Schizosaccharomyces pombe: one gene and its partner. The protein of the gene in region 2 interacts with the protein of the main gene of each other region in a pairwise test. Each region holds a gene or a part of one and is shown on either strand. Other genes may lie near its edges. The genes, in order: SPOM_SPCC126.12 and sib2.

Region 1 (3,971 bases), on a different chromosome or scaffold from region 2:
TAAATTATAATTCAGGCAAGTAACAGACTTAAATATTTATAAAGTTTTATTACAGCCCGATGTTATCATTGCTAGAGTAAATGAACATGAATCAAGGTTACTCCGTTTGCAACAGCTGTAAGAAGCTGAATTGTTATTTTCTGAATCGGTGCTACAAGCTAACAGCCCAAAATCACTTATTATTTTTACAACAACTTTAAGCTGATATCTTCGTTTCATAACTAAATCCAAAGTATATTCCTTCAATTATTTAATTTCATTTAAATTTAATATGAGTATTACAATATGTATAACTAAAAAAAATAAGTTTTCAATAATCTCCTTTAGTATAGGGGTAGTACACAAGCCTGTCACGCTTGCAGCCCGGGTTCGAATCCCGGAGGGAGAGTAAATAATTGAAACTTTTTTATTTAGCTAAACAAAGCTTAGTTTTTGAAGCTTTGGCATCATTATGACCGATATTATATTAGTAAAACATAAATCAAAAATTTCCTAATATACCTGGTTCAAGATCAACCAGTTTGGTTCTCTAAAAAATGTACTTCATATAGAAGAGTAAGAAGAATCTACAAATTATGAGTTTTGTGAAAAGTCAAAATTAATGCAATTTAATTTTAGCATTTCTTCAATTTATGTTAAATAAGTAACAGCTTTTTATTTTAGTAAATCTACATGGTAGTCAAAGGATCAGCATCCATAGAAGATACAATCACATTTGCATCTACTCCTTCTTTGTGAAAGGATGAAGCCAGTTTTTGACACATTACATCCTTTAAATAACCTCTTTCTGTATTGGAATGTCCGCCTACATTGTTGTTAGTTGAATAATATATAATACCAAAGAGGTGAACTGAACAGATTTTTCCTTACATAATATAACTGAGATTCCTTTGGCCATCGCAGCTAAAACTTGATGATGAGACAATTCACCAGTAAAGTAAAGATCTGCATCCGTATTCATAACCACAGATCCACCAGAACCTGCACATAAAGAAACCTTGGAAATATGAGAATCTAATCCGTTAGGTGCACACACTTGGACTACAATCAAATAGGTTAACAATATTAACAATAAAGATAAAAAGAAGCTCACCATATTGCAAGCCGGTTAACTCCTTAGCCCTTTGGACCAATTCACGCAAGGTTGTAGGAATCTTCAGTTCGCAAATTCGACCGTAACCTTCTGCCTCAGCCATGACAGAATTTTGCTGAGTTGGGACCACGCTTTTAATGTTGTTTCGTCCTCCAGCTATACCTTGGGCCAGCCAGTCATTTACTCCATCAACAGCAGCATCAACGGCTGTATGAGGCGAGTAAACGTGAATTCCTTCAGCAGCAAGTTTTAAAAGGCTTCTTTGTTGGGGATCCTCCATCGTGATGGCTTTAAGCCCACGAAAGATAATGGGGTCTAGTTGTGAGTAAGTTGTGTAAACAATAAAAGTAGAAGGTTAACCGCCATACGATATGCTACAATAGATGATACAAGTTTATTTGAAATAGCTTCTTCAGCAACTTTCTCAGTCAAGTCAATCGTCAAAAGTACGGAACTTGCATTTGTTCTTGGGAAAGGAGCCTCAAGCAGAAGCCCAGTGTTGTCCCAAGAATCCGCCAATTTTGGATTATAGATGGACTCAACTACTTTTTTTAATTTGGAAGAAATATTTGCCTTAGACATATTTGGGGAAAGATACCATTAAACGCAGTGATTCCTGAACGACCGTAAGACCACGTTTACGACAACACTTAGTCCTAGGATATGCTTTCTCAAATCTGCTAAATTCTGTAGAGCATGAAGGAATTCTAGCAACGCGTAGCAATACACAATTTTAACTATGCAGTCCTGCGTATCGGTAAAAAAATATTGAACTGCATAGCGAGCATTAAAAAACGATTAGGTAGTACTTTATTATTTTACCGATATTTTTTTATCTATCCTAATACAGCTAAAAAAATCTACGCTTGCAAATGCCTCTATATAAGAAATGCTGAGTGTTAATTTCACAATTTGAATATTTACTTTGTTTATTAATTTCCTCTGTTTATAGAAAATATTTTTTCAGTCAAAGGAAGAGGCCATAGGCATTTCTATCCCATTTGTAAAAGAGCATCCAGTATTTAATGTTTGTAGTGCGTATTCTTCGGGACATGAAATAAATTCTTAGGAAAAAAAATCTCGTTTATTAAACGTACAAAACAATTTAGTGTCTAGTGTTCTAGTTCATCAAGTTTTTAAAAACGTTCGAATGCAATCTCATTATCATTCAATCGGTTCTAGTACTTCTTAGACTACTCGTTACATTCAAAACATATACATTGGTAATGCATTAATCGGTTTTTATATCTCCTCAAGCGTTAAAAATGCTACAGCTCACAGTTGCCGTGCAGAAAAAAACTGTAAAGAAAGAGTTGAAAGAAACAAGAACTAATATTTAAGAAGGAGCAGATTAATCTCCTTTGGATTTTAATGAACACATTAAATTGATTATCATATTGCTAATAGTACACTTCAAACATTTCAATATATAATATAACTGGACCTTTTGTGTCGGCTTTTTTTTTAATTGGTCTATATGACAATTATTTGTAAACAACTCTTTTTTTTCCTAAGGTCATTCCAAGGTCTATAGGAAGGATGAAATATGTATAATTTGGGAATCTTAATTGTTTAAAATGGTACTATGACCAACATGCATGCAAATATTCAAGATATTTCATCATCAAAAGATTGCAATATCTATTGAAAAATCTTGAAATAGGAGTAATGAATTGATTACATGACTAATTTTAAATAGAAGCTCAAGAAAAACAGTTAAACTTCTCAGGTTTTCTACCTGATATTCACTCTTGTTTATGTTCGATATAGGATCTCCCGTCTCACCTCCAATTCCTGCTACTAAGCAGCACTACCACCAACACGCACCTAATAAGTTCTCGTGGACGGATGGCAAAACGAGGCAACAAAAAGAAGCAAGAAGGTAAAATCGTAGCTGGAAACCCATAAAATAAAGCTAACATATTTTTACATAGCACCGCTGTCGCTAGGCAAACATACAGTTGGCGGACGTGTTGGGAAACCAACAAATGCTAAAACCGTATGCTTTTTATTTTTTCCAATGTTTTTTTACTCTAACAAATTGTGAAGGGATCAGCTTTAACTTCAGATAAAAGTTTGTTTGATAAACGTATTGTTAAGCAACTGAAGAATAATGAGCTTTTTAACCGTTTGACTCTCCCCTCGCAAGAACTAAGGGATGGTATAGTACGAGAAAATCAAACAAAGCCATCCAATTCTAATTCCCAAAGCAATGGTGCTATTTCGATCCGTGGTATCGCCGGACCCACTAACGTAGTTATTGAAAATCTTGCTCCCGGAACTTCTTCTGACGATGTCGCTGCTACGTTGCTTAATTTTGGGGAAATTTTGAATTGCCAAGTTAACGATTCTCAAGGAAAGGTGCGTGCTAGTGTTCGATTCAGTACCCTCGCAAGTGCTCAGCAAGTTGTCCAAAAGCTCGATGGCGTAACTGCTGATGGCTTTAAACTCTCTTGTTATATTAAAAAAAACAGTAAAAAGAGAAGAACTCAAAAGAAATGAACTTTTTGCAGCTGTTAGATTCTTTTCATACTTATTTTTTGCTTCCACTGAAGTGTACGTGACTTAATATGATACCTACTGTCCATATCGCTCTTCTGAAATACTCCTTCACGTTATCTGTAATTGGGAAACCTAGAGACTTACCAAAACTCATTCAAGTTTCTACCTTTTGATTTTAAATCAATTTCTGCCTTCCCTCAAACCAGTTCTTGTTATAAAGAATCTCATCGTATTTCTTATTCTGAAACTCTGTACATAACTCTTTAATCTTCACAAAGCGTTAAAAATCGGACGTTAATTCCTTCCCATTTTTCCTTTGAATGTATTCTTGGTGAGTAGCTTATTTGAAAAATTAAAATTTAAGTTGTTACAATTT
Region 2 (4,396 bases):
TGAGAAGATGGTGATGCAGTAAAGTTTTGCTTCTCTTTCAAGGAACTTAAAACTTCTCGAAACCTTTCAGTTGGCACTTTTAAATGTAATACTAAAGTTTCGCTCATTATATGTTTATAATTACCCAAATATGTAATTTGTAAGAGCACCAAGCAAATAACTTTCGAACTCTTTTAACTAAATCGAAAACACTGATTAAAGGATAAAAAACTTCTTAAACTTCCTTTTCTTTAAATTTATCTCTCTTCAAATTATTTAGCAATAAGATGGAAACCTTTCTTAAAGACCAAAATTGAAAGGTAACTTGGAATAAGAGAAGACAGGAAAAAAATTTGAATGCGAGGTGGAAAGTATCAACTAAACGTGTTCCACCGTTGGGATCTGCCGTCCCATAGTTCGCCAGCTTGGACTTGGTGCACCGTCATGTCTCCAGTGTATATACATAAAATTTCTTTAACGAACAACATGCTTTGCAGTGAAGATAATTTTTCTACGAATAAGCGCGCTTAAATATTTTAGTGAAATCAAAATTAATTTATTTAATAATGTTAAGCATACTCACTGCTTACGTTTTGTATGTCAATTTGGGTCTTTAAGTAAAAGTAAGCTCGAATTTAGCAAAATACATTATAGCTATATGGATATCTGTATCAAGTCGTCTTTAATCGACCGGAATGTCAAAATACCTTTTATTGTCACGTAAGAAATTGGGATAGCACGACTTACTATCGAAATAAGGCATGAAAGGGCGAATGAAGGGAAATATTCACAGTAGCTTTAAATTGACCAAGTCATCGAAATCTATACAAATATACAGTGTAGAGATTCGTAAACCGAATAAAAGGTTCAAAAGAAAATGCAAAAGTCGAAGATTTCTCTATGTTCTTGTAAAAAGAATAAAAGATAATGAAAGACGGCGAAGCATCAAATGAGGTGAATAGTTAAGCTGAGAATCAATTAAGATAAGAAGCAGGGACCCGAGCAGTTGGTTTACTCGGACCAAACAGTTCCTTGGCTAAACCACCAGCTCGGATAGCAGCCCAGCTAAGAAGGGTTTCGCCGATTCCGTGTTGATTGCTGGTAATGCCGGCAACATAGACTTTTCCCTGTTTACTTGGGGCGTTTAGTACACAGTACTCCTCAGAAATTTGAGCGCCCTGCGAGTTGGGAAAAAGGGAGGACATTAAGACATCGAATGATTCATGATCATAACCAGTAGCTACATACAGGACATCAATTTTACGAGTTTCAGGCTTTTTGCTTTTGTCCATTTGACTAGTCAATTGAACAACTAAATGATCGCCTTCGTTCTTAATCGACTGAATGTCTGTATCACCCATTATTTGATGGAATTCTTGACCATACCTCAGTTTTTGCAAGTAGCACTCCTTAAACATCTCCTCCAATAGTGACTCTTTGACAACACTGTAATTGGTAGTACGGCCAACGCTTAGTCCTTTCAATCTAGCTTCAGTGGGAAGGTTGTACCACCAATGGGAGTTATGGCTGTCAAAGTAAAGCGAATTCACAAAAGGGCTTGAGTCACTGGGAACTGGGGCCAAATTGCGAAAGCACATTGCCAAAGGGGTCTTGGGGTCGAGAGAGTAATGACAGTGTTTCCATATTTCAGCAGCAGATTGACCGCATCCCACGACGAGAATGCCGTGTTTGGAATTTCGAAGCAACTTTTGACTATGATCTGACATGAACTTACTGGAGTGGACGATAAGTGGACTGTCGACTGATTTATACAATGGTGGTATATACGGCTGACAACCCGTAGTAATAATGATGTTTTTCGCTTGCCATTGAGTATCACCGTGACCCACAATGTACAGATCAGTTGCGGCATCGTAATGGAGTTTATTAATGTTAGCGTTGTACTCGACAAACTTGGAGAAATGGCTGGCTGCCCAGCATAAGTAGTCATGGTATTCGTAACGAGATGGCTCTAGGGTGGACATGTTAAGGAAACCAGATAATCGTTCCTGGCCATGCGAATGTAGATAGTTTAAAAAGGTGAAGTAAGAAGTAGGATCCCTGGGCGTTGCCAAATCCTTTACAAATGAGATTTGCATGTTTGAACCAGGAATCAGCATACCCTCATGCCAGGAAAACGTGGGCAACTTTTCAAACACGCGGATTTTTTTGTTCTTTAAGGGCTCCTCCGAATGGTCATGCAAAGCAATAAGGAAAGAAAGACTAGCGGGACCAAATCCAATAATTGCTAAATCTAGAGGTTCAGTCATTTTCTTATTTCCAAAGGTTTTTTTTTAAGAAAGAGGGACGAAATGAATTAATTAGATAATTAGGGATTTTCCCTAAGCAAGCAATAATATTAGAAAACTTGGTTCCATTATCCGAAAAAACATATTTTTCCTTTTCATACTTACCAAGTTTCACGATATTCTAGAATGCGCGGCTTTTTGAAATTAATTAGGCTAGCACTACTACAAATGTTTGCAAGAAGATTGTTGGTCGATTTTAAAATATTGTTATCCAACCCACAATACGTGCGAAAATGAGCCTATATAATGGAAGTATATGAGCACATGTATTTTAAGGAGTCCATTCCCTTTCGATAACATATGTCGCGCTTTCTCCGTCATAGCGCTAAGCCCTTACGTAACTGCAGTTAAGGTGGAAATTTTGTGAAATCCGAGAAAATCTCGAAGCATAAACAACCGTTAAAAAAAAGAGGATGGTGAAATGAAAATTCTGTTTTTCTTGAGCGAAATTCTTTTTTTATGGGAAATTAAAACAAAGCATCGCCAGGTATATGTTTTCTCCTCGCGTACATACGAATAAACAAAAAATAAGAAGTGCCTAAAATTAAGCATCGTTTTGTATTCTTAGGTATAAACAGAAGGTGAAAAGTGTACTGCCAAATTTAGTATTACGGAAAACCGAGTCTTTGTTATGAAATTATTTGAAAATCGTTAAAATTACCGCATACCAAGGTCTATATTTCTCTGTCATCTTCTTTCCCTCCCCTTTTCATCCACTTTCTCTATGCTGCGGTCGCATGCTCTGTATCTCGCAAGTCCGTAGTTTTTTGAACTATGCGGAAGCAAATCTGGAGTAAAGCGAAAAGGAAGTGGTAAGTGTGTTACAACACATTTTTTTTAATAGAATGGCATCGATTAAATGAGACATCAGAAAAAATGGAAAACTCTATTCATTCGTTTTCCACTACAAAAAGTCCCCTTTACTTGGACTCAGGTTTACCGACCGGCACCCCGCGTTGATCTTCTAGACTCTCTTCATCCGATCTCTATCGATCTGATAAATATAAGGTGGTAAAGTGGGCAATATTGTAAGCGAAAATCTAGGTCACATGCACTTCATTTGATATCTCTCCATTTTAAATTTCGGAAAAGATTAGTAATGAGGCTTTTCATGATCTTTCGAAAGTATTGAAAAATTCACTTAAAAGAGCAAACTCCGATGAAAATAGTCACCCGAAAAACTTCCAGTTTGTTGATTGCCTTGTTTAGACAGGCCTTTTTGATTGCACATTATAACGAACTTTAAGGCTGCGCCAAATCACGTAACTAAACTTCGTTAAGCAAGGGTGGTGTAATATTACAAGCATCCATATTTTAGCAGGATATTCCTCTACTTGGTTCTTACTGCTACTGTGTTTTAATGAAGGATTAATACATCCTTTAGCTATTGATACATTTGTGAAACAACACCTTCGTTATAAAATATTTCCGTGTCACTAAATTTTTTGATTGAGACTTATGAAGAATTCAAATGAAGAAGATGCTTTCTCAACTCAAATTTCTCAATTAGGTCCTATGCGGCCGTCAAGTGATGCCCCCTATCACGTTTTATCACTTCCCTTTTCACATCCTTACTCTGCATTTTTGGACGCTTGGAGTTGGCTGTTTTGTGGTATCACTGGTGGAGAAGTTTCATTCTTTTTTTTTCCTGTTTCAGACGATGTGATTCCTAATACTAATCCTAAAAATTGCCAATGCTACTTATATCATTCTACAAACTCCCAACTAGAACCCTTAGAAGTTTTTCACCTACATAAACTACATTCTGCCGTTTTCACTTCGCGTCGAGATCCATCCTTTGCTGACGATTTGTTTGAATCATCTAAACCATGTTTGAATCAACTTTTATCTTATTTTTCAGACATAACCGCTTTTCGATCTATGGATGTGGTTGCCGACATAGCCTTTGTCTGTTCTCCCAATTTCCTTACTTTAAAATGGAATTCGTCTCTGTTTGATGATGATTTAGCAAGATTACTTTTTTTCATGATTAACTCAAAAATCACTAATTACGACCTCCCCTTCTCCATCCTTAATTCTCCTTGTTCCGATTTATGCTTAAACTCTTCATCTCTTGCTAATTATTTACACGGGTGTTTTTATCATAA

The links.
Region 1: the proteins of sib2 (region 2) and SPOM_SPCC126.12 interact in a two-hybrid assay, tested with the Schizosaccharomyces pombe proteins (one large-scale study listed by BioGRID).

The regions. Positions count from the first base shown.
Region 1 is NC_003421.2:2,135,825-2,139,795, reverse strand, and holds SPOM_SPCC126.12 (NGG1 interacting factor 3 family protein), read right to left. Parts: upstream 1,752-3,971; 5' UTR 1,676-1,751; coding exon 1,462-1,675; exon of another isoform or gene 1,409-1,461; coding exon 1,094-1,408; exon of another isoform or gene 1,042-1,093; coding exon 871-1,041; exon of another isoform or gene 830-870; intron 806-829; coding exon 669-805; 3' UTR 593-668; downstream 1-592. Other genes in the region: SPOM_SPCC126.11C (rrm type RNA-binding protein), read left to right, coding at 2,942-2,975, 3,028-3,092, 3,143-3,595.
Region 2 is NC_003424.3:868,878-873,273, reverse strand, and holds sib2 (ornithine N5 monooxygenase), read right to left. Parts: upstream 2,482-4,396; 5' UTR 2,394-2,481; intron 2,322-2,393; 5' UTR 2,250-2,321; coding exon 954-2,249; 3' UTR 501-953; downstream 1-500. Other genes in the region: Ino80 complex subunit Ies4, read right to left, coding at 1-107; ferrichrome synthetase Sib1, read left to right, coding at 3,747-4,396.